4 linked regions of the Anolis sagrei genome follow. The protein of the gene in region 3 interacts with the protein of the main gene of each other region in a pairwise test. Links are inferred from orthologs where the notes say so. Each region holds a gene or a part of one and is shown on either strand. Other genes may lie near its edges.

Region 1 (7,747 bases), on a different chromosome or scaffold from region 3:
ACAACCTAAAGCTCATCTGCCGGGCCCACCAGCTGGTCCACGAAGGCTACAAGTTCATGTTCGATGAGAAGCTGGTGACGGTGTGGTCGGCCCCCAACTACTGCTACCGCTGCGGCAACATCGCCTCCATCATGGTCTTCAAGGACGTCAACACGCGAGAGCCCAAGCTCTTCCGCGCCGTCCCCGACTCCGAGCGCGTCATCCCCCCGAGGACCACCACGCCGTATTTCCTCTGAGACCCTCCTCCCATATTTCCCTTCTTCTCTTTCTGTGTGACATACTTTTTATTGAGCACTTTGCTGCTGAAATGCTGCCTCTTGCCTTGTTCTTTTTTATTTTTAAATTATATCTAAATGTGTTGTACATTGTCGTCAGTGACGCGTCTCTTTTCGACCTCCCTCTGCGCAGAATAACAAAAAGCTATTTCCCTTTCCAAGAGTGCTCAGAGCACTTCGCTGTTTTATAATGCTTCTCGATTTCTCTCCATTTTGTTCTGTTTTGATTTCCCTCCCTTTTCCAATAAAATACAAACCGAGCCAGAACTAGTCCGATCTCCTTATTCCACGCGAATATTTATCTTGAGGATAGAGTTTTAAAGAAATTTCAGCAGCAAAGTGGTATTTATGTGCGGCAATGGGACTTTCTAAGTCCATCTAGATATATACGAGGGAACGGTCGTGCTTTATATTTTGCTTTGAGCAGATAGAAATAAGTGGGTTTGAAAAAAGGATGTCGCTTATTTCGTTTTTCCTGTCCCTCGAAGACTTGTTTTTTTTTATGTTTTAGGGTTCCAAGAAAAAGCAAAACACGCTACAGGTATTTGGATTTGTACATTAAAATAATTGCTCTGATTTTTCTCTCAGATACCTTGTATTTTTAATAAAGTCGTATCCAGAAACCCGTGCCTCTGGGTTAAAACGTTGGAAATAAAAACATATGTTGTTGATGGGAATGTCATGGCTTTTCATTTCAAAATTGAGCCATTATTATTATTGTTATTATTAACAAAGATGTATTATTGTTGTTATTATTAACAAAGATATATATTACTTAATACTGGGAAAGGGAAACGCTGCACATTACAAGTGGTGAACCTGACTCAGCACACAGACCAGGGCAAATGCTTGATGTGTCCACTGGAGGGTGGCAAAGGATTACACGTAAAAGTCCTGGGCAGATAGATGGCTATAAAGCTTCAATGGAGGGTCAGAATACCGGGGGGGGGGGGGGGGGGGCGCAAAGCTCGATGTGGAGGCGGGCAAAGGATTGCACATAGGAGTCCTAGGCCAATAGGTGCCTCTGAGGGTTGAATGGAGGAGCCGCTCTCAAACGTAAGTTCTAGGTCTGGATAAGGATTCCACTGTATATAGGCTTCAGGGATACATTCAATAAGAAAAATCATACAAACACAGTAAGCATTTAGTCATGAGGCTCTATGTAGACTGAAGACAATAATGAAGATGGAGCACCACTCTCAAAACAATCTTCATGGAAAAAATCCAAATCAAGTCCAGTGAAAGCACTGCTTCTCAAAATAAGTCTTCAAAGGAAAAGTCCAAATAGCATTCAACAGGGGTGCCCGGGTATTTTTGTACCCTGTTTCGGGGAAAGCAATCCCCTTCCTCAGGAGTTGATAAAGTCAGCAACTCTAGACTCTTATCAATAATAAGAGCCTAGAGTTACTATATTACTCTTATCTATAATAAGAGTAATATAGATATGTCCACTGGTCACCTTATATCTATTTATATATTATTATTTCAGGTTGTTATTCTATATACATAGATGTATATATGCACACATAGTGACCAGAGGACTTATTATTATTATTATTATTATTATTATGTCCACTGGTCACCTTATATCTATGTATTATTTCACGTTCTTATTAATTATATAGTGAGCAGAGGGCTCTATTATTATTATTATTATTATTATTATTATTATTATTATTACTATAATTACTACCATATGCCAGCAAATATGGAAAACACAAGAATGGCCATCAGACTGGAAAAAATCAACTTATATCCCCATACCAAAAAAGGGAAATGCGAAAGACTGCTCAAACTTCCGTACAGTGGCCCTTATTTCTCATCATGCCAGTAAGGTAATGCTCAAGATCCTGCAAGGAAGACTCCAGCAATACATGGAGCGAGAGTTGCCAGATGTTCAAGCTGGGTTTAGAAAAGGCAGAGGAACGAGAGACCAGATTGCCAATATCCGCTGGATAATGGAGAAAGGCAGGGAGTTTCAGAAAAACATCTACTTCTGCTTCATTGACTATTCTAAAGCCTTTGACTGTGTGGATCATAATAAATTGTGGCAAGTTCTTGGTGGGATGGGCATCCCAAGCCCCCTTCCCTCTCTCCTGATGAATCTGTACAAGGACCAAGTAGCAACATTCAGAACTGACCACGGAACAACAGACTGGTTCAAGATTGGGAAAGGCGTTCGGCAAGGCTGCATCCTCTCACCCAACCTTTTTAACTTGTATGCAGAACACATCCTGCGATGTGCGGGGCTGGATGAATGCAAGGCTGGGGTGAAAATTGCTGGAAGAAACATTAACAACCTCAGATATGCAGATGACACCACTCTGATGGCCGAAAGCGAGGAGGAGCTGAGGAGCCTTCTAATCAAGGTGAAAGAAGAAAGCGCAAAAGCCGGGTTGCAGCTAAACATCAAAAAAACCAAGATTATGGCAACAAGAATGATTGACAACTGGGAAATAGAGGGAGAAAATGTGGAGGCTGCGACAGACTTTGTATTTCTAGGTGCAAAGATTACTGCAGATGCAGACTGTGGCCAGGAAATCAGAAGACGCTTACTTCTTGGGAGGAGAGCAATGTCCAATCTCGATAAAATAGTAAAGAGTAGAGACATCAGACTGGCAACAAAGATCCGCCTAGTCAAAGCCATGGTCTTCCCTGTAGTCACCTACGGATGTGAGAGCTGGACCTTAGGGAAGGCTGAGCGAAGGAAGAGAGATGCTTTTGAACTGTGGTGCTGGAGGAAAGTGCTGAGAGTGCCTTGGACTGCGAGAAGATCCAACTAGTCCATCCTCCAGGAAATAAAGCCCGACTGCTCATTGGAGGGAAGGAGACTAGAGACAAAGTTGAAGTACTTTGGCCACATCATGAGGAGACAGGAAAGCCTAGAGAAGACAGTTATGCTGGGGAAGGTGGAAGGTGAAAGGAAGAGGGGCCGACCAAGGGCAAGATGGATGGATGGCATCCTTGAAGTGACTGGACTGACCTTGAAGGAGCTGGGGGTGGTGACGGCCGACAGGGAGCTCTGGCGTGGGCTGGTCCATGAGGTCACGAAGAGTCAGAGGCGACTGAACGAATAAACAACAACAACAACATAATTACTACTTTACTATAAATATACTAATATAATATATATTACTATTATATCATATTATTAATATTACTAATATTGTGATTATTAAGTTCTCTGGTCACCATATATATATATATATATTCCTATTATATCATATTAATATTATGATTATTAAGTTCTCTGTTCATATATATATAATTATTACTATTATATTAATATTACTAATATCATTATTAAGTTCTCTGGTCACCATATATATATTATATTACTATTATATTATATTATTAATATTACTAATATTGTGATTATTATTAAGTTCTCTGGTCACCATATATATAATATTACTATTATATTATATCATATTATTAATATTATTATGATTATTAAGTTCTCTGGTCACCATATATATATATATATATATATATATATATATATATAAAATTATTACTAATATATAATGTCATATTAATATTACTAATATTATGATTATTAAGTTCTCTGGTCACCATATATATATAATATTACAATTATATCATATTAATATTACTAATATTGTGATTATTATTAAGTTCTCTGGTCACCATATATATATATATATATTACTATTATATTATTAATATTAGTAATATTATCATTATTAAGTTCTCTGGTCACCATATATATATATATATAACTATTATATCATATTATTAATATGATTATTAAGCTCTGTTCGTATGTGTGTATATATATATATATTATTATTACTATTATATCATATTATTAATATTACTAATATGATTATTAAGTTCTCTGGTCACCATATATATATTACTATTATATTATATTATATTATATTATAACGGTGCTCCGTGCAGTCATGCCGGCCACATGACCTTGGAGGTGTCTATGGATAACGCTGGCTCTTCGGCTTAGAAATGGAGATGAGCATCAACCCCCAGAGTTAAACATGACTGGACTTAATGTCAGGGGACTAACTTTACCTTTTATTATATTATTTATATTACTAATATTATGATTATTATTAAGTTCTCTGGTCACCATATATATATATTCCTATTATATCATATTATTATGATTATTAAGTTCTCTGTTCATATATATATAAATTATTATTATTATAAAATTATTATTATTACTATTGTATTATATCATATTAATATTGCTAATATTAAAGTTATTATGAGTAATGATAGTAATAGTTCACTGTAGTAAATATTCACCAACCTGCCTTAGAAATGAGAAGCAAGTGGTTGGATTAGGCAAGGCGTGCTGAGGTCACGTGGCTGGGAAGCCCCACCCACTTCTCCCCAGGCTTTGGCCGCGCCCATCCTTTCCCGATTGGCTCTCCCTCTCGCCCCCTCCCCGGCGGGCGGGGTTTCCGTTTCCGGGGAGAATCACCACAGAAGGTCGGTGGCAGCCGAGAGGGAAGGAGGTGCCGCTTTCTCCTCCTCGTCTTCCCTCAGAGGGAAAGGCCTTCCCGAGCAGGCCCCTGGCCATGGCGCGGAACTCGCTCTCCTCTCGCTTCCGGCGCCTCGACATCGACCAGTTCGACGAGAACCGCTTCGTGGAGGAGGCCGACGGGGCCGAGGCCGGGAGCGGGGCCTTGGGGGCGGCCGAGGACGAAGGCGGAGGAGGGCTGCGCGCCGAGGTGGAGGCCGCCCTCAGGCAATATCCTTCTTCCCTTTGGGAGCCGGGTAGAATCGGGCAGGGATGGGCCAAGTTGGTACCTCAGGGTGTTTTGGACTTCAACTCCCACAATTCCTGGCCTCAGCCCTCTTCTTTTTCCCCTTCAGCCACCATGTATATTATATATCAATATGGTGACCAGGGAACTTAATAATAGCCGTAATATTAGTAATATTAATAATTAGAATATGATATAATATAATATAATAGTATTGGTATAATTATTATAATAGCAATTATCGTAATAATATTAGAGCCCTCTGCTCACTATATAATTAATAAGAACCTGAAATAATAAATAGATATAAGTGACCAGTGGACATAATAATAATAATAATAATAAGTCCTCTTGTCACTATGTTTGTATATATACAGCTATGTATATATAATAACAACCTGAAGTAATAATATATAAATAGATATAAGGTGACCACTGGACATAATAATAAGTCACTATATACATATATACACACACACATCTATCTGTATATAAGAACTACCTGAAATAATAATATATAAATAGATATAAGGAGACCAGTGGACATCATAATAATAATGATGATGAGTCCTCTGGTCACTATACACACACACACACACACACACATATCTATCTGTATATAAGAACTACCAGAAATAATAATATACAAATAGATATAAGGTGACCAGTGGACATAATAATAATAAGTCCTCTGGTCACTATGTGTGTATATATACATCTATGTATATAATAACAACCTGAAATAATATATAAATAGATATAAGGTGACCAGTGGACATAATAATAAGTCTTCTGGTCACTCTCTATATACGCACACACACACATACACACACACACACACATCTATCTATATAATAACTACCTGAAATAATAATATATAAATAGTTATGAGCTGACCAGTGGACATAATAATAATAATAATGTCTTCTGGTCACTCTGTCTCTATACACACACATACACACATATCTATCTATATAATAACCTGAAATAATAATATATAAATAGATATAAGGTGACCAGTGGACAGAAGAAGAAGAAGAAGAAAGAAGTAGTAGTCGTCATCGTCGTCTTCTGGTCACTATATATACACACACACACACACACACATCTATCTATATATAATAACTACCTGAAATCATAATATATAAATATATATAAGGTGACCACTGAGCATAAAAATAATAATGAGAACAATGGAATAGACTCATAGAAGCCTAAAGTTGGAAGGGACCCCTCGGCCATCTAGTCCAACCCCCAGCCAGGCAGGAAAAGCACAATCAAAACACCCCTGACAGATGGCCATCCAGCCCCTGTTTCAAAGTTCCCAAGGAAGGAGCTTCTACCAGACTCGGAGGCAGAGAGTTCCACTGTTGAACAGCTCTTACACTCAGGAAGTTCTTCCTAATGTTCAGGTGGAATATCCTCTCCTGTCATTTGAACCCATTGCGTCCACAAGCCTGCTCCCTCTTCCTCAGGACACGCTTTCACATGTTTATCCATGGTTCTCATGTCTCCTCTCAGCCTTCTCTTCTGCAGGATAAACAGACCCAGCTCTTTGGGACACTCCTCATAGGGATTATTCATGGTCTCCAGATCCTTTTAGTTGCCTTCCTCTGGACACCTTCCAGCTTGTCAATATCTCTCTTTAATTGTGGTGCCTAGAATTGTACACAGTGTGATTCCAGGGAAAGAGGTTTAACCAAAGCTGAATAGAGAGGCAGTATGACTTCCCTTCATGTCCTCTGTTTTGTGTGTTTTAGTATGTATTTTGTAGAGGCGCCTTTTGTTGTTTAACTTTTGCGGAAGTACATTTTCCTGTGTGTATTTGTACTGTTGTTGTTTTTGCTGCGTTATGTATTTATTTTAATGATTCTTAACTGGGAATGTTTTAAAATACGATTTCTATTTAATCTTGTTTTCATGTTGGTATATTTGTGTATTTTAAATGGCTATGCTGGAGCTTTTATTTGCTGAGTTCCCTTTGGGGGAAATAAAGTGGGGTAATAATAATAATAATAATAATTCACACCATCAGAGATTTGTAGTTTCTCAATTTGCTTCACACACGATATAATAATAATAATAATAATTATTATTATTATTATTATTTAATTATTTTGTAATAATAATAAATCTTTATATCCCACCTTTCTCCCTCACGTGACCCAAAGTGGCTTACAATATATTAAAATAATGTAAACAACAATCCATATACATTGATAATAAGTATAAAATGTCATAAAATAAGCAGTTTAAAATAATAATATACATTCATATTCTTGCAACCTGGCTCAAGCCACGAGGAGAGGTGGGTAAGAAATAAAATTATTATTATTACAATAGAGTCTCGTTTATCTAACCTTTGCTCACCTAACGTTCTGTATTATCCAACGCAGTCTACCCCTTACCCGCAGAAGCGGCACCTATTGATCTACTCACATTTTTGAACTGCTAGGTTGGCAGGAGCTGAGGCTAACAGCTAGAGCTTTTCTTTTCTACATTTATTTATTTATTTATTTTATTTTAACTATTTTGAGTGTGGGGCAAAGTTTTTGTGCATTGAACCATCAAAAAGCAAAGGTGTCTCTTAGCCAATCATTTGGACAGTTTTGGATGAGGCATGCTCAACCTTTTTTGAAGAGGTTTTGACCTTGGAGAGCAGCCATCGAGTATTACATTCACAAGGGAAATGAATGGGCTGAATCACTGTTAAGC
Region 2 (6,948 bases), about 130 Mb from region 3:
GCTTGTGTCAAAGTTCAAATCCTGGTCTCACAGATTCCTATGCACTCAAAACACTGTGTCATGTTGAGTCTTTACTAAAACCAACCAGAATGTAAAGGAAAGCATTTGAGTTCTCTAGAATTCCTTGCTTGGCTAGATGATACAATCTTGTTGGGAATGGGTTGGGGATTTCTATAGACTTTAAATAGTTGTAGAGACTGCTATTGTCTTTTTTATGTGCCTGGGTATAAGTTCTCTTGTTCATTGATGAATTTTATCTGCCCTTAAGTATAGTGGCCTTGGTGTCTGTTGTGGCTTATCAAAATCCATGGATGCTCAAGTCCCATGATATACAATGTATAGTGTAATGGTGTCCCTTGAATAAAATGGCAAAATGAAGTTTTGGGGAGGGGGCAGTGGTGGGGATGAATACAGTATTTGTGGATGGTTGAATCAATGGATTCAAAATTTGTGCATATAGAGGGCCAACTGTAATTCCTGCCATTTGCTGATCAAGCCAATCACATGTCAATCATAATGTTTACAAAGGCATAGGGCTATATAAGTATGGCTGGTGATAGTGTCTAGCCATTCTTTGAGAGAACTTTGAACCTTATCCATCTCCCAGGTTCAGTGATCTGTGCAAGCAAAAAGCAAAAGTTTCAGCTCCAAGCATCTGATGTGAGTTCTCTGAGGAATTATAGATGAGAGAGAGAGATACCTCAGTGTTTTGCTTGTGGGCATCTAATTGGCCTTAGAGAAGCAGGATACTGAGTCAACCATTCTAGTTTAGCTAGTTTCTCTTATGAGTTTTACTTGTGACTGCACATTTCACTGGAAAGGTTTGGAGTGCCCTCAAAGTATGACAGAATTGATAGGATGGATGTTTCCCAAAGAGAAAAGGGCATAGTGTCCAAAGACTATCTATGGACCCTTGCAGATAATTAAACACTGATGTTGATTTACGTATTAGACACCTGTTTTTGCTAGCAGGGGTGTATCCACAGTACACATTTTTACTGCTATGCCTCCATACATGGAATCTTGAGATTTATAGTTTTGGTGATATATTTAGAATATTCTGCTGGAGAACTCCAATGGTCTAGTTCAGGGGAGTGGAGTAGCGTTCTCCAGCTCAAAAACCTATGTACATCATTACCAGCTCCAAAATTCTTTAGGATGAAGCTATGGCAGTTTAATTGCTATGTCATTATAGGTCTTGTTTCTTTCTTTTATAGATATACTACCATTGTTGTCCAAGGAACTGGAACAATGAAAGAGACATTTTTGCCAAGGGCTGACAGTCTAATTTTTTAAAAGGGAATGCAAAGGAAGGAAAGTATCCATATAAATTCTGCAGTGTTGATACAGTCCAAGTATCATTTCTTGTGACTGTATTGTGCTGATCAGCATTGGCAAACAGGTTGTGATAAATGTTGCCTCCTTGCAGCTACTTGTAGGGGGGAAGGATTGCTTTCACCATGTATTAGTACTGAAACATCATTACATTTGAAGATTCATATGAGCACAATATGTGTGTTCAAATCCTTTCCATGTGTTCAGCATAGATTGCTCTGAAGTAAACGTGTATAGGATAGATGATAGGTAGCCTATGCTATTTCTGGAAAGAATGAATGATGACAGCTGCCTTAATAAATAGGCCTCCACTTCCACAGGGATTAAGGGTACAAAACCCCAATAAAAGTGGAAAGCCATGAAAGAAGTTTTTAAAAACCTAAGGTTACATTTCTCTAGCAATTCCCCAAGTCCTTCTGTGCAGTTCTATAGTCAGTATCTACTATATCTTGGTGATCTATTTTGAAAGATCATTTTGGGTGCCACAAACCCTCCAATCTAGTTTCAAGCCCCACTTTATCCCTCTCTGTCATTCTGGGGTTTGTGGGCTTCTGCTACTATCTCTATTTCTGCTTTCTGCTATGGCTGAAAAAGCCATAGAAAAGACCTTGAGAAACCTGACTTGGCCACGGTGGTCCATTCCTTAGTTACATCCCGACTGGATTACTGCAACACCTTCTACATGGGGCTGCTTTTGAAGATGGCTCAGAAACTGCAGTTGGTGGAAAGGTCGACAGCCAGGTTGCTAACTGGAGCTAATTATAGGAAGCAGATAAAGGGAGCAGATATAGGGAGCCCCTATTTAAACAGTTCCCCTGGTTACCGATAAGTTTCCGGTCGCAATTCAAAGTGTAGGTCATCACCTACAAAACCCTAAATGGTTCAGGTCCTGCCTATCTTCGCGATCGCATTTTCCCATATGAACTGACATGGACCTTAAGATCTGCTGCAGAGGCACTTGTCTCGCTCCCACCACCATCACAAGCACAGTTTGTGGGGACGAGAAAGGGCCTTCTTGGTGATGCCCCCACGGCTCCTTCCCTAGGGATATTAGGCTAGTACCCACTCCGTCTACCTTCTGTGGGGACCTCAAAACATGGATGTTCAAATGCATATTTGAAAATAGTTAGGCCCCTGCCTATGATTGCCCAGCTCTAATTGACTGTCATATAAAATCTCAGCACTTTACCCCAGCCCTCTCCCTATAATCTGGTTTTGCACAGGCCCATGCCCAACCCTCTCTAATTTTGATATGTCCACCATAGTCCTGGTTCTTGTTATTGAGATTGGCTTTGATTTATTCCAATGCAGTTTTTAAAATTTACTGTTTTAATTGTGTAATTAGATTGTCATATGTTTATTGTGAGGTTTTTTTTGTTATTTTCCATTTTTATTTTTTTCAAATCACAACACAAAAAATTGTTCCAAACTGAGAAAAAGTTTCATTTTGTTTTTACATATAAAAAAATTACGTATAAAAATAAAAATGTTTATTGTGTTTTTAATGTGTTTTTACTTGTCTAACTTTTTTGTTATTGTGCTTGATCCCGCTTGTAAGCCTCCTCAAGTCCCTTCAGGGAGATGGTGGTGGGACATAAAAATAAAGGTATTATTATTATTATTATTATTATTATTATTATAGTTCGTCTAGAATAATTGTCTGTAATACCAGGACAATGGTACAGTGGCTGCTTTTGTGGATTGAAGCCTCATCCTACTGTTTTCCATGAGAGTAGGAAAGAATGTGAGACGTTTTAACATCTTAACCATGAATAGTGCAAAATGGAGAAATCTTGAGCCAGCAGTGTTCCCAGCCTCTCGAGGATATACAGTATGCCTTCTAAATCTAAGGCTCAGTTACATGTTGCTGTAGAACCAGTACACACCCATTACGTGAGAGATGCTGCATGGCCAAAAAGATGAGGCATGGAAGATCCATGATGAGATGTTCTGATGTTTTCCTCTTAGTTCATGTTGTATGCCTGCTGCACTGATGCTGAAAGAGAAGGATAATTTCTCCTTCTTAGCCATTTCCTCACTCAAAGTGATGATTAATCCCACAATTGAACACTGTACTGTATGTTTTTTGCAATATAGTTTCTCATTTCTACCTGTGGAATCAGTGATATGATCAAATGTTGTAAAACAGTTTATTTCAAGCAGCAATTTGGTCCTGTATTGTATTCTCTTAACTTTCTGTTGGATCCTTAATATCTTGAATTATACAATGTTTATTTTTTAAAATTGCAAACAGATTTTTCTCTTTTGTTGCAATGCTGTGGGTTTGTTAGTTCATTTGTTTGACCCAAGAGCCAAGTGATGTAACATAGAGGACCCTTTAATTACTTGTTTGTGCTTTCTTGGGTCCTGGTCAGGAGCATGTGGGCCTGCCCTGCCGTACAGAAAGGGTGACATTAGATTGGGTGGGAGGAATCCTGAATCATTCTTGATTTGCTGCCTAACATCCACTTTGGGAATTCCACCCTCTCCTAAAATGCAGCCAGATTTAAGGGTGTGTGTGGTGAAAGAGGGAGGGGCAGGGATGGGATCACCCCCCAGCTGTTCCTGACCAAAGCACATTGCTCTCCCGCACATTGCTGCAATTCTTTCCTGGGGAAACTGAGCCACTGCAAAAGCCAGAGAATTAATGCCATGGCCACTCTTCAGAAGCCCATCTCAAATAGCAGGAATTGACTCTACTTTCACCTCCATATTTGCTCTATGCTTTCTGGGTTTGGAGGTCAGTGTCAAGGTTTTAACATGGGATCTGTGGCAGGAGGTGAGTGTTAAGTAGAGACCAGAGTTGTCCATGTTTGCTTGCATTTTCTTGTGTGGGCTGCTACTTACACAATACAACTTTGGCTTTGTGAGAACTTTCTCTCCCTTGTAATTGTGTTTTGACGTTGCTGCAAGAACTCGCGTGCACCTATGCAGTAGTTGTTTCTATAATGCTAGGTCCATGGGAAATTCCATATATCCATACTATGTGTCTTTGAGGTGAGTGGAGTGATTAAACCTCTCTGGGTTTCAGTCTGAACTTTAAAGGAAGTGCCCAAGATGTTTATTTATTTATTTATTTATTTGGTACACTTGTATACCGCTAATATCTCAGCCTATGCGGCGACTCATTGCGGTTTACAATATATTTAAAACAACAATATTCCGATTTAAAAATATAAAATAAAATATAAAATACATACATATACATACACAGTATTGGGCCACCAATACAGACCGGTACATCTCATAATTAAAATCATAATCCAATTCGTTATCTGTGATTGCTAGTCCATGATCAAAGTCAACTTCCACTGAAAAGCCCTTTTAAAGTTCAGAGCTAACATCAGGAGACAATTCATGAAGCCACTAAAGTCTGAGCCACCAAGTGCCACTAATTCATATTTACATTTGTACTATGCAGTTGTTTCTAGACCTTTGTGATCCTCACAGTGTCCTCTATGAATGGAATCCTCTTATATTGTGTGCAGTGATGGAAGCACACAACCCAAAGAAAATTATCTGAATGAACAGTGATCAACTTTGGGTCCAGAAATATTTTGTCCTTTATCTTCTAAATGATTGTAAATATGGGACAGAGGGAATGTGCAGCTACTAGAAAGCATACCAATGTTCTGGCACTAAGATTCCACTGAATCAGGTTGTATATTATTATCTTTCTTTGTGGTTGGGGTTTTCAAAGAAGTGATGAACTAAACAGAGTTCATTGCATTGTGTTAAAGTTCAGCTAGTTTTTTTCATATGTGATGGTTCACTGTAAATTTGCTCCACTGATATAGTAGGAAATTTTGGAGTGCAGCCACCTGTTATGACAGTCCCCATAGCCATGACCCCGAGGAGGACCCAAAAATGCCAGCATTTATATTCATCCATATCAACAAACCAGTTCCATCCCTTTTCAACTCTACTGGGAGCAGATGTTTTGTAAAATTAGTGGGTCTTAATTGTGCATTAAAGTCAGGCCAAAATGCCTTTTCATTACAACATGGAAACTCACAAAAATACCTTGCAACTTTGAAAACTCACTTTTATGGTGTGGGCTGCTACTAAATACAAAATGGTAAGAGAAACATAAGGGAAGATGCCAGATGAAATTGTCAGCCTTGCTGATGAAAGATGCCAATCTTTTGTCCTTCAGAGCTTTGACTGTTGGGCTCCCACTGTAATAGAAAGAGTAAGCAAGAAGATGATGAAAATGGGATATTTGGGATAGTTGCTTGATTGAGACCCAGACTTTTAACAACGGTACATTGAACTGTGGCTCTTTAGAGAATGGGGTTAAATTTCCTGCTCAGCCATGGAAACCCGTTGGTGATCCCTTAGGTAAATCATACACTCTCAGCCCCAGAAAAATCTGTGATAGGTTCACCTTAGGTTCACTATGTTGGGAATGACTTGAAAACACACAACCTTTCTCTCCATACTGAGAAAATGCTTACAACCTTATTTGCACATTTATTTGTGATTTGTTTTTATGATAAAAAAGTAATTAATACAGGAAGAACTGGCAGGAAGTGCTGTCATAAACAGTGGCCTTGATACTGCACCTGATTCTCTAGCAGCATTCCCCAGTGGGTGGAAGTCGAAGGGCTGGACTCACCTAAAAATAACAATATGACAAAGCTCACTCTCATCCTGTTCACAGTTGAGAGAAGTACTGGAGTACAATTCATGTACTTTAGTGCTGCTTCTCATCCTCCACCACACGTATAGTAAGACAGTGGAAAGTCTTTGGTTACTGCACAGCTGTTGTGGCCATACAGGTTTACTTTCTTGTAGATCATGTTACAGACAGCAGAGGTCTGCCCAGGAATAAGGACAGTAGTAGCAGTCCATGTCTATTTCCCAAGTTGCTATGACAAACAGATTATGTGAAAGGCATTTCTGAGGGGTACTCTAGAGCAGAGGCAGCCCTAGGTAATTTTCAACAGTAAGGAAATAGTATTTTGCCCCCCCCCCCCCCCACCAATCACTGATATATATTTTCTGTTCGTCGTGGGAGTTCTGTGTGCCATGTTTGGTTCAATTCCATCATTGGTGGAGTTCAGAATGCTCTTTGATTGTAGGTGAACTATACATCCCAGTAACTACAACTCGCATATGTCAAGGTCACTTTTCCCCCAAGAGTGCCTCAAGAGTGCCCCTGGGCAAAATCAACTATACTGCAAATGCTTACTTTGCGTAATGGGTTGAGTCGCCCCTGCTCTAGAGTTACTTAAAACTAAACAGTGGAAAGTAAAGTTGTATAAGCATGGAAAAGTTGAGTCTTTCCACACATACATATACCATTTTCAGAAAGCATTTATTTGGGAAAGCTGACCAAATAAATAATTTTGATATTGTTCTTCTTCATCTTTTGTGTTAGGAAGTTTTTGTTGTGTTGCATTTGTCAAGATGCACTGAAGTTGCTGATGCTTCCTAGTTGTGTTTCTATGCATTTAAATAAAAAAAATCAGTGGAAAGAAAAAGATGACCCCTGTACCACAGTTTCATTAATCCACATCTGATAAAATATGTCCTCTAGGCATTTTCTAGATGCTCCAGTGCAACTCTGTGGTATTCTTAGACCGGATAGGCTTCATTTCAATAATGTCC
Region 3 (7,835 bases):
GATCAGTCTGCATCACAGTCTTTGTAGAAATACAAGGATACCAAAGTCTTGTAAAGCTTCCAGTCTCCTGGGGACTATGAATCTCCCCCATCAACCTTTCCATGTCCATATCTTCCCATAACATCTGTGTCCAGTTTTCCAACTTTCTCCATTGCTTTCGTAACATAAGTGTTCCACCTGACCTAGACACCTGCAACTGTCTTTTCTTTCTTCCATTCCTTTAAGTCAGAAAAAATTGCAGTTCTTCTTCAGCTCCACTGACACACCAGCTTCTCCAGGGCTGCAGCACTGTGAGGGGGACGCCAGGCACCCGCCACTCCCCTTCCTCCATCGCTTCTCCTTTCTCCACAAGAGCCCACTGCGTGCTGTTCTGAACGCCTTAATCCAAGCTGTTGACCAGGCTAATCTCCAGAAATCAGCCACTCGCTGGGTTGCCGAGATGTGCAACTCCCTGGATGAGTAATGCAACAAAAGGTTTCAACCTCTCCTCATGCATTAGGATTGCTTCTGCATCATCACCATCACTCAGGCAGGGTGATATTGGGCACCCAGTCGTTGACATTTCGACTCTCCTCACAAAACAAGTTCAGCTTGTCCAAGGAAGGGTCCTTCCAGGCATCCTCACTGGGGTTCTATAACAAACAGGAGAGACAAAGAATTCATGAGTAAAGGCTTCCTATTCATCCAAAAGCACATCGTACTACAGAAGTTCTAAAAAATCTCTAAATTACTTTTTTGTGTCAGGAGCGACTTGAGAAACTGCAAGTTGCTTCTGGTGTGAGAGAATTGGCTGTCTGCAAGGACATTGCCCAGGGAATGCCCAGATGTTTTCCCATCCTGTGGGAGGCTTATCTCATGTCACTGCATGAGAAGCAGGAGCTGACAGAGGGAGCTCATCTGCACTCGCCCCAGATTCGTCCTGCCAGCACAAGGGTTTAACCCACTGCACCACTGGGGGCTTCTAGGAACAATGGGATTATACAGCTATGGCATCCCAAAAATAAGGAATACTATTTCTCTATGACAAGTATTGTTTGTTTGTTGATAAAGCCCACCTGCAGCTACCAACATACTTCTGGGACCCAATAGCATGGGAATGTGCCACTGACAAAAGCACTTAAACTATGTCATCGTGGTTAATTGGTGGCCTCAATTGGCTCCAGCCAAGTCTAGCCTGAGATTGTTTCCACATGTTATTAGTCACACGGTATCAAGTACACTGGAAGCAGGGAGGGAAGGGGGAATTTCACAGGAAATCCCAGATTCTGCCAAGTTCTGCATGAAAGCCAACTACTACGAAACAGCATGACCTTACTGGGACTTTGTTTTGCAACCGTCTGTGCTCAGTGAGCTCAACTTTCCGGAAAACCCTCCCTTCAGTGGAAAGAGGCGAGACAACGAGACACTTACCGTGACGAGGATGCAATGCAGGTCCCGGGGTTCCCCAGACTCCTCGCTGGTGGCACCCACAATCACTGCCAACTTCTGGATGTCGTTGACTCTCACAATGTCAATGTCATTCTCACAACAGAATGCCTGGATGAGGGTGAAGTGGATCTGGAGGGCAATGTCTCCCTCGTCCTCCTCGTCGGCAGCAAGCACACAGAAGGCCACAGTATCAGGGTCACTGGAATGAACAAGAAGAAAGAAAAGCCTGGTTATTAGAGGCACACGGCAACCGAGATGGGCTGTTGTGCAAGTGGGAGAGACTAGGGAAAGGAGAACAAGGCGCCCATGCCTGGATACTCACACATTCATCAGTTTAGCAGATTCGTAGACGCCGGCGGTGAGGCAACCCCGGCGGTGAGAAGAGATCAGGAGCTCCTGAAGAGCTTTGCCAGCACTTTGCATCCTGCTGCTGGTGGAGGCACTGCTAGCTGTGCTAAAAAGGGAGAGAAAAGGGAGGGGAGATCAATTCCTGCTCCATTCCCACACTTCAATAGATCTCTTTCCAAACCCAGCCCTGGCTAAAGACTCTTGCTATCCCTAAACATAAATACAAGTCCAAGGGTTCCATAGTAGAGAGTTAAAGTGGTGCCAAACTGCATTAAACCTACAGTGTTGATGCACTCCTGTTTAGTGTGTTTTGATAGATCTCAATAGATCACCCAACCTGGCTAAAGACTTGTTATTCCTAAACATAACTACAAATCCCACGATTCCATAGTATGGCATTAAAGTGGTGCCAAATTACATTAAACCTACACTGTAGATGCATTCCTGTGTTTAGTGTAAACACAGGAGTGCAGCTACACTGTAGGTATAATGCAGTTTGGTACCACTTTAACTACAGTGCAGATGCAGTGTAGCAAACTCCGTTAAACCTACAGTGTAGACGCACTCCTGTGTTAGTGTAACATGCTAAACACAGGAGTGCATCTACACTGTAGTTTTAATGCAGTTTGGCACCACTTTAACTCCATACTATGGAATCCTGAGACTAGAAGTTCCTCAGTTCCTCTGCTGGTGATTCACCAAAGAGTGCAGAGTGATTCACCCAGCTTAAACTCGTGAGATTGCATAGCATTGAGCCATGGCAGTTCAAGAGGCATTTGATGCCAAAGGAGCCCAGTTCCTCCCAGTTTCGACCCATTAGCCCAGCCAATTCCCAACTCTCCCGGCATGAAATCTCTCCCCTGTCCATCAGCAAGGAGTCCCACCTCTCCCTGTTCACTTCTGGTGCCAAACAGCCCCACTGATCGCCTTCAATAGCGAGCTCTCCCTCCCTTATCTAGACAAGCCAAAGTGGAAGAGAGATCCTTACCTGTCGCTAGTCTCCGGCATCGCTTCCTGGCTGTGGATTTCCTCCAGAGTCATAATGGTCCAAAAGAGAGGAGGAAAAATGAAAGGAATCAAAAAAACCCACGCGGCTCTTATCCACAAATCTTCCGAGGAAAAAGGAAAAAAGCAAGTTGCTCAAGCCAAGGAACCCAAAGCCCTTCGATGCGCTCTCTCTCTGAGTGTCTCTCGCAGTCCTTCTCCTTTAAGTCCTCAGCGACGTCTGAGCGGAAGAGAGAGGCGCCCGCTGTATTTATAGACTGCCCAGCCGAGGCGCCGGCAGCTGCCGGGAAAAGGGCGGCGCTGATTGGCCAACCCTTGGGAGTATTGTGATGCTAATCAGGCGGGGAGCAGGGGGGGGGAGACGGCTCGTGCCAGGAGGCCACGTGGTAAGCAGGCAGGCAGGCAGGCAGGCAGGCGGGGGGAGAGAGACAAGGAGGAGAAAAGGAATCAATGGGAGCAGATGACAATGCTACCAATCTGCCACCGCTGCTTTTGTTGTCATGTTACTAGGCAGGAACTGCAAGCCGGAGCACTTGATCTTTAATATTAAGGGGAGGGAAGGAGGGGAGGGGGTAGGCATCAAAGGGGGAAATGTCTCCTTGTGGATATGTGCAACTTGTGGCATGGCTTATTATTTTATTATTATTTAAAATATGCAATAATACGCTTTCGTTAGGGAAAGGTTTTTGAAAAATTTTTAAAAAAGGAAAAACTTTTTCCCCCCCTAAGGCTTGCTTTTTTCCTTTTGCAAAGATGCTCTGACAGTGGGATATAATGTCTTGGAGTGGAGGGTGCATCTACACCAAGCATGTGCCAACTTTGTCCCTCCTGGTGTTTGGGACTCCAACTCCCACCATTCCTAACAGCCTCAGGCCCCTTCCGTTTTCCCCCTCAGGGGTGCTTTGATTGTGTATTTCTGCACAACAGAATGGGACTGGATAGCCCTTTGGGTCTGTTCAAACTCTTGGATTGTGAGTGTGTCTATGCTGTAGTGCATCTATAGCACATGGATTAAACCCTTGTGCTGGCTGACCTGTTGACCTGAAGGTTGGAGGTTCGAATCCGCGAGACGGGGTGAGCTCCCGTCTGTCAGCTCCAGCTTCCAATGCGGGGACCTGAGAGAAGCCTCCCACAGGATGGTAACACATCCAGGCATCCCGTGGGCAACATCACTGCAGACGGCCAATTTTCAGAAGCAACTTGCAGTTTCTCAAGTCACTTCTGACATGATAAATAAATAAATAAATAAATAAATGCTGTACAATGAACATTGTTTGACCCCAACTTAGCTGCCTTATTATGAAATCCTGGGAGTTGTAGTTTGGTACCAGCACCCTTGGGCAGAGGTGGCAAATATCTTTGCAAAACTTCACCTTGCAGGAAGCCATATCATTGAGCCATGGCAGCTCAAGTGGTGGCAAGCCGCATTAATTCTGCAGTGGAGAATGGGATGCACCCTTAATGTTTGACTGGGGAGTTGACACATCTCACTAATTTTCCACTATAGTTGTACTCTGAACCATAGCAGTTCAAACTGGTGTCAAGCTGTAGTGTAGATGCACCCTAGGATTCGACAATTGGCCCTGAAAACTGCTTCTGGCATGATCCTGCTCCCCACTTTGCAGCTCAGGGTTCACTCTTCCCCCCACCATGTGTGAGGAAGGAGAGATGGGCTTTTTTTTCTTTTCTTTTTTGCAACCTCAAGTGTGCCTTGCTGCCCAAAAGGAAAAGAATAGAAGTGTGTGCTGATGATGGGGGGAGTGCATGAAAAGTGAGGTTCCTGCAAAGTTCACCGAAATGGATTGGGTGGGGGTGGGGTGAGGGGGCTGCCTGGAGCAGATTGTGGCCGGCACACGCTCTTCGTTTGCATGTCAATGGCAGGCCCACAATGGCCTGGGTCTGGCGTGTGGCCGTTTGGAAGGCGGACAAAGAGAGGCTTTCTCTTTGGAGCAGCACTCTCCACCTGCCACAGGGCTGAGGGTTGGCTTGGGCCCCAAAAAAGAGGGGAGGGAGGGGGAAGGCAAAAAAGTAGGGGAGGCAACTAAAGGGGGGGGGGCAATTGCACTGCTCTCCTTTTCTCTCCCCCCCCCCCTTTTTTCCATTGTTCATCACCCAATCTGTTCCCTAGCTGATGAATGTCTCCACTTTGGCTGCACAATTCCCCAAGTTGCCACTGAGATTTCAAAGGTCCTCTAAGAGCATAGCATCACCTCCTGATTCCAAAGGCTCCTTTCTCCTGCCTTCTTCCACATATACATATACCCCATGGGTGCATCTACATTGTGGAATGAACACAGCTTGAAATGCCACACTACATGCTATAGAATTGAGGAGTGCTGGTGATTCGTCAAACGACATACATCCAGGATACCATAGCTTTGAGCCATAGCAGTTAAAGGGGGTGTCAAAGTGCATTCATTCATCAGTGTAGAGCAGGCATGAGCAAACTTTGGCCCTCCAAGTGTTTTGGACTTCAACAGTTGGTATTGTGGGAGTTGAAGTCCAAAACATTTGGAGGGCCAAAGTTTGCCCATTTGGAGGGCTAAAGATACACCACAAGCTCCAAAGGCTTAATTCCCTTGCTTTCTTCCACACACACAAACCCATCATCCCCATGATCTTGATCTCTATTTTGCAATACACAGGAGAGGCCAACCACCATCCTGGCCAGGGGGGCATCTATACTAGAAAGGATCTACTTGGAAAACCACAATTTCCATGATTCCATATCTTTGAACCATGGTAGTTAAAGAGCAGGGTCAAACTGCATTCATTCTACAGTTCAGGTGTACGTTTTGAGCCAGGACTCCGTATGATAGTCCAAGGGACACCTAATTTTTAAAAGCGGGGGGGGGGGGTCACACAATGCAATCCCATGAATGACCCCTTGTCACCATCTAATCATGGTGCTTGCTTGCAGTGGAAGCATAAGGGTTGCCATTATGTGGTGCAAAAGGGTCCTTATAAAAATCTGATGGTGTTTTCCCCCTGGGTGGCAACAGGGCTGCAATCCTTGGCAAAGTGAAATTAATGAACCAGACCTTTGGGTTTTGTTTTCATTCCCTGTACATCATGTTCTTCAAACATCCCTGTTCTCCCTCTAATACTCTCATTTTTTCCTTCTGTTTTGGACACCTAATTCTGGATAAGTAGCGCCATCTGCCGGAGACGGATGTACATCTTTCCTGTTAGAAGATACATTATTGTGCAGACAAGAGGTGCATCTACACCAGTGCTTCTCCACCTGTGGGTCCCCAGATGTTTTGGCTTTCAATTCCCAGAAATCCTAACAGCTAGTAAACTGGCTGGGATTTCTGGGAGTTGCAGACCAAAACACCTGGGGACCCACAAGTTGAGAACCACTGATCTACACTGTAGAATTAATACAGTTTGGCATCATTTTAATTGCATTGGCTCAATACTGTGCAATACTGGGATATGTAGTTTTACAATGCCTTTAACCTTCCCTGCCAAAAAGTGCTGGTGCTTTCCATAGTATTGCGCCATGGCAGTCAAAGCGGTGTCAAACTGCATTAATGTGACAGTGAAGAAGCCAGCCTCATTTTTCCTACAGAGAGAGAAGGCAACTGTGGGCCTTTAATATACACTGCCATTTGGTTCCAGAATCCCCAGGGATGCCAAAATCTGCAGATGCTCAAGTGCATAACAAAATGGTATCACTTATATGAAATGACAAATTCAAGATTACCTTTTTGGGAATTTCAAAATATTTCCAAGCAATGGATGGTGGAATTTGTGAATGTTGAATCCCTGGATATAGAAGGCTAACAATATATTTACTGGCAGAAGATGACAACATTCAAAATAACAACAATAATAGTAATAATACCTTCTTACCCGCCTTTTCTCATCTATGCCATCAGTTCAAAACATGTAACACATAAGTCTGTTAAAACATCATAGAATCATAGAGTTGGAAGAGACCTCGTGGGCCATCTAGTCCAACCCCCTGCCAAGAAGCAGGAAAATGGCATCCAAAGCACCCCTGACAGAAGGAGCCTCCGCCACACTCCGGGGCAGAGAGTTCCACTGCTGAACAGCTCTCAGTCAGGAAGTTTTTCCTAATATTCAGATGGATTTTCCTTTCCTGTAGTTTGAAGCCATTGTTTTACATCCTAGTCTCCAGGGAGGCAGAAAAAAAGCTTAAAGAACATATGCAACATGCTAAAACAACCAGTGCCCAATTTAAAGTTCACAATTAAAGTGGTGCCAAACTGGAGTCATTCTACAGTGCAGTTTGACCCTGCTCTTTAACTACCATGGCTCAAAGCTATGGAATCCTGGAAGTTTAAGTTTTACAAGGTCTTTAGCCTTTTCTGACTCACCAAACTACATATCCCAGGATTGCATACCATTGAACCAGTTATAAAAGCCAACCTCAATGCGGAGCATGCGTAAAACTTTGTGAATTTTCCATCCCATAATGTCCACAGACCATTGCCAGCATCAGACAACAGCACCAGAATGAGCTTGTGGGCTGGGAGCAAACATTCATTTACGTAGACCCTTAAATGACGTTATTTGTCATTATTGAGGTTTGTATCAAGTGACTTAAGGTTTCCTTTCCAAAGAGAGCTGAATTTATCCCCTTTTCTATGGCATTTGTGATGCATCTGACACAGTGGGCTGTAGTTATATTGCCACAAGTTTAAATGTGACTAATAACACAACAATAACAAATGTCTTTGCCTTGAAGGAGCCGCATGACTCTTCCTTGATTTGGTTGCCGCAGATGTAACTTGGGCTGATTGCCTGGAAATGAGAGTGTTCGTGTTTCTTAAGTGGGATCAGATGAAGAGGTGGGATGATAGCCGTTCAGGAAGTTCTCCAAAGCTCAGTACAGGAAACTATTGATGGAGAGCCAATTTGCCTGGATTCAGATCGCTGGGCTGGCACATCTCGGGAAGTGAGCTATCCATTTGATTCTCTTCCGACCTTTCCTTGCTCTGCCACTTTCAAATGACAAATGACAGGAATGAAACTAGGATCTCATACACACTATCCATTACTCACCAAAAGAGAATATATTTTTA
Region 4 (7,753 bases), on a different chromosome or scaffold from region 3:
TGGGGCTTTTGGTTGTTTATATTGTTAAATTACTTCTTACGGTTTTAAATTGATGTATTTGTACACTGCCCCAAAACAGAGTAAGATATAAATATTTTAATAAATAAAATTTATATCGAATATTGTATATTTATGTTCTGGCAGTTTGGCATGGACTCACTGTTTTACAGCATTTTATTTTGATTTGTGCTAAATCAAAAGTAAAAATCATTTTATTATGAAGTTTCGTTTCAAGAAGAAATGCAAGCTGTTTTTAATACCACACTTTCACACTGCTTTGTTCAATATCCAAAGAGAAATATGACTCAAGGACATTTCTATGCCTGTTATGAAACCCATAGGGATTTATAGTTCAAACAATATGTGATACAACTGTACAAAGGGTGGGGTGGCGGGCTAAGAGAAAAAAATCCTAAAAACTACAGTTAATACCACTTGATTTTGTTTCCCAGGCAATTTATATTTTGGAAATATTTGAACATGAAAAAGCAGGTATTGTAAGCGAAGACTGTTTTAAGTGTGGTGTGCAGCTTAAGAAACCTAGTGTATGAAGATAAAAATGTGAAAAAACAAGCTGCTTAGAAAACATTTCAGTTGAGTTTACTTGGAGATAACAAGAGAATTGTCAAGAATGGAAATAAAGGAAATGTGGCCAATAGAAGATCAGGGCAGAGCTTTAAAGCCATAATTGCATAAAACAGAGAAAGAAAGCAGTGTACAGGTTGTATGTGTTGATATATATTATGCAGGTTTTCGAACTCACATAATTCTTTCATCAGGCATGGCTATTAAAAGTAACAACAATGGAGGGTCACAGAGCTGCATCTTTTTTCAGATGTTAAAGCTGAGTTTGAAATGACTGAAGATTTTGTGCAGGTAAAAGCCACATCCTTGTCAGCCATGACACATTCAGGATACAAAAGCTGAGAAAAGCAATGAAATGATTTTTCCCACTAGAAATCAAGGCAGTTCTTTACAGACCCATCCCCTATGCTTTGCAAGACAAGAGGAGGTGAAAACCTCAGAGGGTGAGTCCCAGTCCATGTGCTCCTCCTTGCTCACGATTCCTGAATTATTCTAGAATACATAGGGGATTAATGTAGATTAAAATCAGCCAGGCCATCAATTTAAACTTCCATAACATGAAATAGATGATTTTTGCAATACCGTGCACAGGGAAATATGACAGGACATATTAATTTTCTGTAAATGTGTGTGTATATATAGCATATTGTTCAATTTTACCTGATTATGGAGGGGAACACGGATCAGACCATAGCAATCCTTAGATGGAAGGCGACCAGGGGAAAGCAGAGGTCTTTCATTAAGGTTGAATAGAATCCTGTCTGAAACAATATAGAGTTGATGCCAGCTAGAGGCGGGAATATTTAGCTAGACGGTCAACATTCAAAACAGGTGTATGGGATGCCTTGCATAACAGTTCACGTGTACACACGTACCTATGACTGTTCTATTTTTTGTTCTACAGTCTGGAATTGAAATGGATTTAACTGGCATTTTACCAATTCATATAAAGAAGACACTTAACACTATGAAGGCACAAAATATGAATGTAGCACAAAAGTGAAGTAAACAAAACCAAAGTGCCACTTCCTGATTATTCTCTTTTATTATGACATGTAAGCAAGATTTACTACATTGTGCTGCCTCCAGAAGTCAAAATGGTATCTACTGAAAATCCCAGTATTATATAGACTCAGACTCATAATAATGATAATAATAACTTTATTTTTATACCCCGCCTCCATCTCCCCAAAGGGACTCAGGATGGCTTACACGGGGACAAGTCCAAGTGAACATGGTTAAAATATAACATATTAAAATATCTAAACATCAATATAAAACAAAAACAGAAAACCAACATTATAACAAAATATGAGAACAAAACATCAAATCAAAATCAAACCAGTGAGCTCTATGATAATATTTATTTAATTATTTACTTTATTTCTATTTATTTAATTATTTATTTTTGCAGTGTAATACACTTTTTCCATAGCATGGTTTTATGGTAGAACCAGTTAGGAAATGACAAAAAATATGTTTAATAGTGTAATCAGTTCTAGAACAAACACAGCTCTAGAACAAAGTAAATTCAGACAACTCTTCATGTTTTACGCTACTTCATACCAGTATGTTTATATACCTTAGTAAAAGTAAAGGTTTTCCCCTGACACTAAGTCTAGTGTCCAACTCTGGTAGGTGATGCTTATCTCCATTTCTAAGCTGAAGAGCTGGCGTTGTCTGTAGACGCCTGCAAGGTCACGTGGCTGGCATAACTGCATGGCTTAAAGATGGACTCAAAGCCAACCTTAAAAACTGGCATAGACACAGAACTGGAAAGCCCTGCCCCTTGAGTGCTCCAGCTGGAGATCAGCTATGACCAGCAGTGCTGCAGAATTTGAAGTGGCACGAATGGAGGACAAAAGAGAGAAACGTGCCAAGAGGAAGGTGCGTCAAGCCATCCCCGACTGAGACCACCTTCCACCTGGAAACCAATGCCCTCACTGCGGGAGAAGATGCAGATCAAGAATAGGGTTCCACAGTCACCTACAGACCCACCAGTACACTGACGTTGGAAGACAATCCTACTTGGACAACGAGGGATTGTCTAAGAGAGAAGAGAGATAACTGCATAGAGTGCGGTTACCTTCCCACAGAGGCAGTACCTACTGATCTACTCACATTTGCATGTTTTCAAACTGCTAGGTTGGTAGAAGATGGAGCTAACAGCGGGAGCTCACCCCACTTTCTAGAGTCAAACCACCAACCTTTCGGTCAGCAAGTTCAGCAGCTCAGTGGGTGGCCAAATCTAGTGATTTGGAAAATAAAGTAATGAGAAAGTGTTTGTTTCTAATATATGTAATTTCTTTATGCTTGTGGGTAAACAGTATTTCTTGCTGTTTCTTTGTCAGTTTTGATGTGGAGATTGTCTGGTTTGCCTACTCAGGAACATGCAGCATATCATTGTCCTTCTTTAGGGGTCCGTTTCAAATCTATGATACTATAACTCTGTGTGTGTGTGTGAATCATCTATCTATCTATCTATCTATCTATCTATCTATCTATCTATCTATATCTATGGTTGGATGGCTCTTTGTGAGGAGGGTTCCGATTACATTTTCTTGCCCTGGTGAAGAGAGTTGAACTGGATGGCCTTAAGTATTTTCTGTTTGTCATGGGGGTTCTGTGTGGGAAGTTTGCTCCAATTCTGTGGTTTGTGGATTCAGAAAGCTCTTTGATTGTAGGTGAACTATAAATCTCAGTAACTACAAATCCCAAATGTCAAAGTGTATTTCCCCCAAACTCCATCTGTGTTCATATTTGGGCATATGGAATATTTGTGCCAAGTTAGGTCCATCATTGCTTGAGTCCACAGTGCTCTACAACTCACAAACTCAAGGTCAATGCCTACCAAAACCTTCTAGTGTTTTCTGTGGGTCATGGGAGTCCTGTATGCCACGTTTGGTTCAATGCCATTTTTGGTGTTCAGAATGCTCTTTGATTGTAGGTGAACTATAAATCCCAGCAACTACAACTCCCAAATGACCAAATCAAAATTTTTGAGTGAAGGACATACATTGGATTGTGAGTTGTATTGTGTTCAAATTTGGTGTCAATTGATCCAGTGGTTTTTGAGTTCTGTTAATCCCACAAACGAACATAACATTTTTATTTCTATAGATAGATTAGATAGATATATGCCCTATATGTTTTATTGAAAGGTTCACAATTGGTCCTTACATAGTTTGCATATATAGAATCATAGAATCAAAAGTTGGAAGATACCTTGGGCCATCCAGTCCAACCCCCTGCCAGGAAGCAGGAAAATTGCATTCAAAGCACCCCTGACAGATGGCCATCCAGCCTCTGTTTAAAAGCTTCCAAAGAAGGAGCCTTCACCACACTCCGGGGCAAATTTCCACGGCTGAATGGCTCTCAGTCAGGAAGTTCTTCCTCATGTTCAGATGGAATCTTCTTGTAGTTTGAAGCTCCAGGGAAGCAGAAAACAAGCTTGCTCCCTCCTCCCTGTGGCTTCCTCTCACATATTTATACATGGGTATCTTATCTCCTCTCAGTTTTCTCTTCTTTGGGCTAAACATGCCCAGCTCTTTAAGCCGCTCCTCATAGGGCTTGTTCTCCAGACCTTATATCATTTTAGTCGCTCTCCTGTGGACACATTCCAGCTTGTCAATATCTCTCTTGAATTGTGGTGCCCAGAATTGGACACAATATTCCAGGTGTGGTCTAACCAGAGCGGAATAGAGGGGTAGCATTACTTCCCTGGATCTAGACACTAGGCTCCTATTGATGCAGGCCAAAATCCCATTGGCTTTTTTTGCTGCCACATCACATTGTTGGCTCATGTTTAACTTGTTGTCCATGAGGACTCCAAGATCTTTTTCACACGTACTGCTGTTGAACCAGGCATTGTCCCTCATTCTTTATCTTTGCATTTCAAATTCTTGATAACGCAAAAAAGACAGTTCTAATTTGGAGGGGAAAATTATTTTCTCCCCAAAAAGGAAGTAAACCCCCAAACAGGAATTCCAAACGTCAAACTGGAAGTACTTCTTGCAACTTCCTGGAAACTATTCCCAGTGAGGTCGGGCGGGAAGACAGGAAAATGGCGCCCCCTTGACTAAAAGCAAGGAGGGAACAGCGCTGGATCCGGAAGTGAGTGCGCAAGAAGCTGTTTGTGATTGGCGCTCAGGGATCCGCGTCACAAAGTAGCCTTGCCGGAAGTCTCCAGGGGCGCGGAAGTACGTCAAAAGCTCCGGGTAAAGAGTTAAGCCATTGGGGTTGAGGGCGCGCTGCTCTTGCTGTGGTTGCCGCCATGTTGGGGCCGCAGTGAAGGGCCTAGCGCGTGACCGACCCAGGAGGGATGGCGCTGAGGATGCCTCTGGCCGCGGAGGGGGACACCAGGCCTGGCGCCGCCTCGCCGCGGTGAGTCGCAAAGCAAGCTTCGCCCTCTCAAGGAGGATCCCAGGGAAAAGAGCCTGGCTTCCGAGCCGCGGGCGCCCCACAGCGCCCCCTAGCGCCCACCTCGCTCCCAGCCTCTCTCGCGCGCCCCCAGTGGCCGCCGCGGGATTGCAGAGGAAGTCATTGCATGGGTTGCATGATTGGGGGGCACATCTGAGTCTCTTAAGGCAGGCATGGGCAAGCTCCAGGTGTTTTGGACTCCAACTCCCACAATTCCTAACAGCCTCAGTCCCCTTCCTTTTCCCCCACAGCCGCTTGGCTGAATTAGAGACTGGTTGTGTTTATTGATTTTTAACCAGTGGGATTGTATGGTGTTATGTTGTTTGTTATTGTTTGTTGTTGTTCAGTCGTCTCCGACTCTTCGTGACCTCATGGACCAGCCCACGCCAGAACTCCTTGTCGGCCGTCACCACCCCCAGCTCCTTCAAGGTCAGTCCAGTCACTTCAAGGATGCCATCCATCCATCTTGCCCTTGGTCAGCCCCTCTTCCTTTTGCCTTCCACTTTCCCCAGCATAATTGTCTTCTCTAGGCTTTCCTGTCTCCTCATGATGTGGCCAAAGTACTTCAGCTTTGCTTCTAATATCCTTCCCTCCAATGAGCAGTCGGGCTTTATTTCCTGGAGGATGGACTGGTTGGATCTTTTCGCAGTCCAAGGCACTCTCAGAACTTTCCTCCAACACCCCAGTTCAAAAGCATCTATCTTCCTTCGCTCAGCCTTCCATAAGGTCCAGCTCTCACATCCGTAGGTTACTACAGGGAATACCATGGCTTTGACTAGGCGGATCTTTGTTGCCAGTGTGATGTCTCTACTCTTTACTATTTTATCGAGATTGGACATTGCTCTCCTCCCAAGAAGTTGTGTGTTTGCACCTGAGTGCTTTGTGAGCCGCCCCAAGTCCCTTTGGGATATGGCAGTGGGATATAAATAAAGTTTTATTGTTATGTTCTTTACTCGAGTTTTTATGCCTCCTTCCTCAGAGCCTGTTACTTTCAGATATATATGATGTGTTCAGAATACAAGTTAAACAGGGTGATAAAAGGCAGTCTTGCTCAACCTCTTGCCAATTGGAAACCATTCTGTTTTTCCATATTTGATGTAATGGTAGCCTCTTATCCAGAACATGAGTTGTACATTACGATAATCAAGGGTGAGGCAGCATAACTTCCTTTTTTCAAAACTTAATAAAACCCATTGTATGAATCAGTTTTTTAATGTATTGTCAAAGGCTTTCATGGCCGGAATCACTGGGTTGTTGTAGGTTTTTTCGGGCTATATGGCCATGGTCTAGAGGCATTCTAGGAGAGAAGGAGAGAATGCCTCTAGACCATGGCCATATAGCCCGAAAAAACCTACAACAACCCAGAGTTTTTTTTTTAAAAAAAATTATAATGTAGGCGCATACCTAAAGTTTTGTTTTACATAGTTTTGAAGATCAAATTAGGTAGGTGACGTCCTCCATACACTGAGTAAACCAATTTCTGGTGTTTGTCATGACTCTTGCCAGCATAGCAGCGTTATGTTGGCAATTTCTTCCTGGATCTTGGTCTTCAAATCTTGTAGGGTCTTTGGACAGTTCACATAAACACGAGATTTCAAAAAAACCCCATAGAAAAAAATCCCAAGGGGCCAAATCTGGAGAGTGGGCCAGCCACTCCAAATCCGCTCAAAAAGTAGGCCTCAACGGCAAAAGCACACTCCTCACTGTTCCAACGCATGATGGCGACTGAACTGCGTCAGGACAAAACTTTACACTCCCGCCTCCCAAACGAGACAACTAGCACTCCCCTACGTCTTCAACCGACTGAATGGCCCGCATTTTAAAAAAGAAAGTTATGCTGCCTCACCCTGTAGTTGCACCATCCATTCTTTAAGAACCATCCCTGGCTTTTCGTTATCTGTAATGAAAGATATTGCTTTAATCTATTAAATGCACAATGATTTTATTATGAAATTTATTGGGGTGCTCCATTATTTAATATAGGTTTTCCATATGAACTGTGCCTCGGCATGTAGGCCAGAATAATCACGATACATGAGAAGTTGTTACTTATGTTACTTTTTTTTCTTTTAAGTATTATAGGTCATGTATATCATGTAGTTTCAGCAGCTGGATTGGATGGAAAGAACCTCCGGAAGTGTCATCCAGTTTCTAGACCTCTAAGAAACGATGTTCCCTTGCATCAGTCTTCGGTTGTAACTGATAATATGAACAGAAATGTTTCAAGACCTGGTCATAGTAATTTGCAGGATTTGTTTGCAAATACTGCTACATCTTCATTTGTTAAAGACACTGAGTGTAAGAAGGCTGCATCTGGAAAATTGATTCTACCAAAGCTGTTTGGTCAAGTGGAAATGATTGATGCCTCTGTTATAAAGGAGAATCCAACTACACCGATAATTTCTAGCATTGTAAAAGATAATCCAACCACTCCTACCAGTTATAGCCTTCAGAGTAATTGCAGTTCTACTGATGTATCACCTTTCCCAAATGAACCTGCCATGATTGGCTCAGAAACAAGCAATACCAGCTACGTACTTGTGAATGCAAACAGATTTCCTCTCGCTCCAAAGTCTCAAGTACCTCCTTCTAAACATCCTCTTCAAATACCAGCTCATGAAGAAGTTAAATCTGTTCCAGCTTCTTTACTGCTACCTTCGATTCAACAGAATACTTTGGTTACATCAGTCTCAAATGCTTCTGAGGCTTGTGACATTAGGAAAGCACAAACAGTTATTTATGTGTCACC

Evidence for each region.
Region 1: the proteins of GADD45G (region 3) and ARPC5L interact in binary tests that used the Homo sapiens proteins (3 or more experiments, as listed by UniProt). The link is inferred for Anolis sagrei from reciprocal best matches to the Homo sapiens genes GADD45G and ARPC5L.
Region 2: the proteins of GADD45G (region 3) and AFAP1L1 interact in binary tests that used the Homo sapiens proteins (3 or more experiments, as listed by UniProt). The two-hybrid records come from large-scale screens. The link is inferred for Anolis sagrei from reciprocal best matches to the Homo sapiens genes GADD45G and AFAP1L1.
Region 4: the proteins of GADD45G (region 3) and LRIF1 interact in binary tests that used the Homo sapiens proteins (3 or more experiments, as listed by UniProt). The link is inferred for Anolis sagrei from reciprocal best matches to the Homo sapiens genes GADD45G and LRIF1.

The regions. Positions count from the first base shown.
Region 1 is NC_090031.1:6,399,370-6,407,116, reverse strand, and holds the start of ARPC5L (actin-related protein 2/3 complex subunit 5-like protein), read left to right. Parts: upstream 1-4,728; 5' UTR 4,729-4,843; coding exon 4,844-5,016; intron 5,017-7,747. Other genes in the region: PPP6C (serine/threonine-protein phosphatase 6 catalytic subunit), read left to right, coding at 1-236. UniProt on the Homo sapiens protein: May function as component of the Arp2/3 complex which is involved in regulation of actin polymerization and together with an activating nucleation-promoting factor (NPF) mediates the formation of branched actin networks.
Region 2 is NC_090022.1:102,222,620-102,229,567, forward strand, and holds the start of AFAP1L1 (actin filament-associated protein 1-like 1), read left to right. Parts: upstream 1-3,928; 5' UTR 3,929-4,056; coding exon 4,057-4,114; intron 4,115-6,948. UniProt on the Homo sapiens protein: May be involved in podosome and invadosome formation.
Region 3 is NC_090022.1:234,504,292-234,512,126, reverse strand, and holds the start of GADD45G (growth arrest and DNA damage-inducible protein GADD45 gamma), read right to left. Parts: upstream 3,006-7,835; 5' UTR 2,818-3,005; coding exon 2,765-2,817; intron 1,883-2,764; coding exon 1,751-1,882; intron 1,628-1,750; coding exon 1,411-1,627; intron 633-1,410; coding exon 522-632; 3' UTR 1-521. UniProt on the Homo sapiens protein: Involved in the regulation of growth and apoptosis. Mediates activation of stress-responsive MTK1/MEKK4 MAPKKK.
Region 4 is NC_090024.1:205,699,851-205,707,603, forward strand, and holds the start of LRIF1 (ligand-dependent nuclear receptor-interacting factor 1), read left to right. Parts: upstream 1-4,736; 5' UTR 4,737-4,906; coding exon 4,907-4,968; intron 4,969-7,078; coding exon 7,079-7,753. UniProt on the Homo sapiens protein: Together with SMCHD1, involved in chromosome X inactivation in females by promoting the compaction of heterochromatin.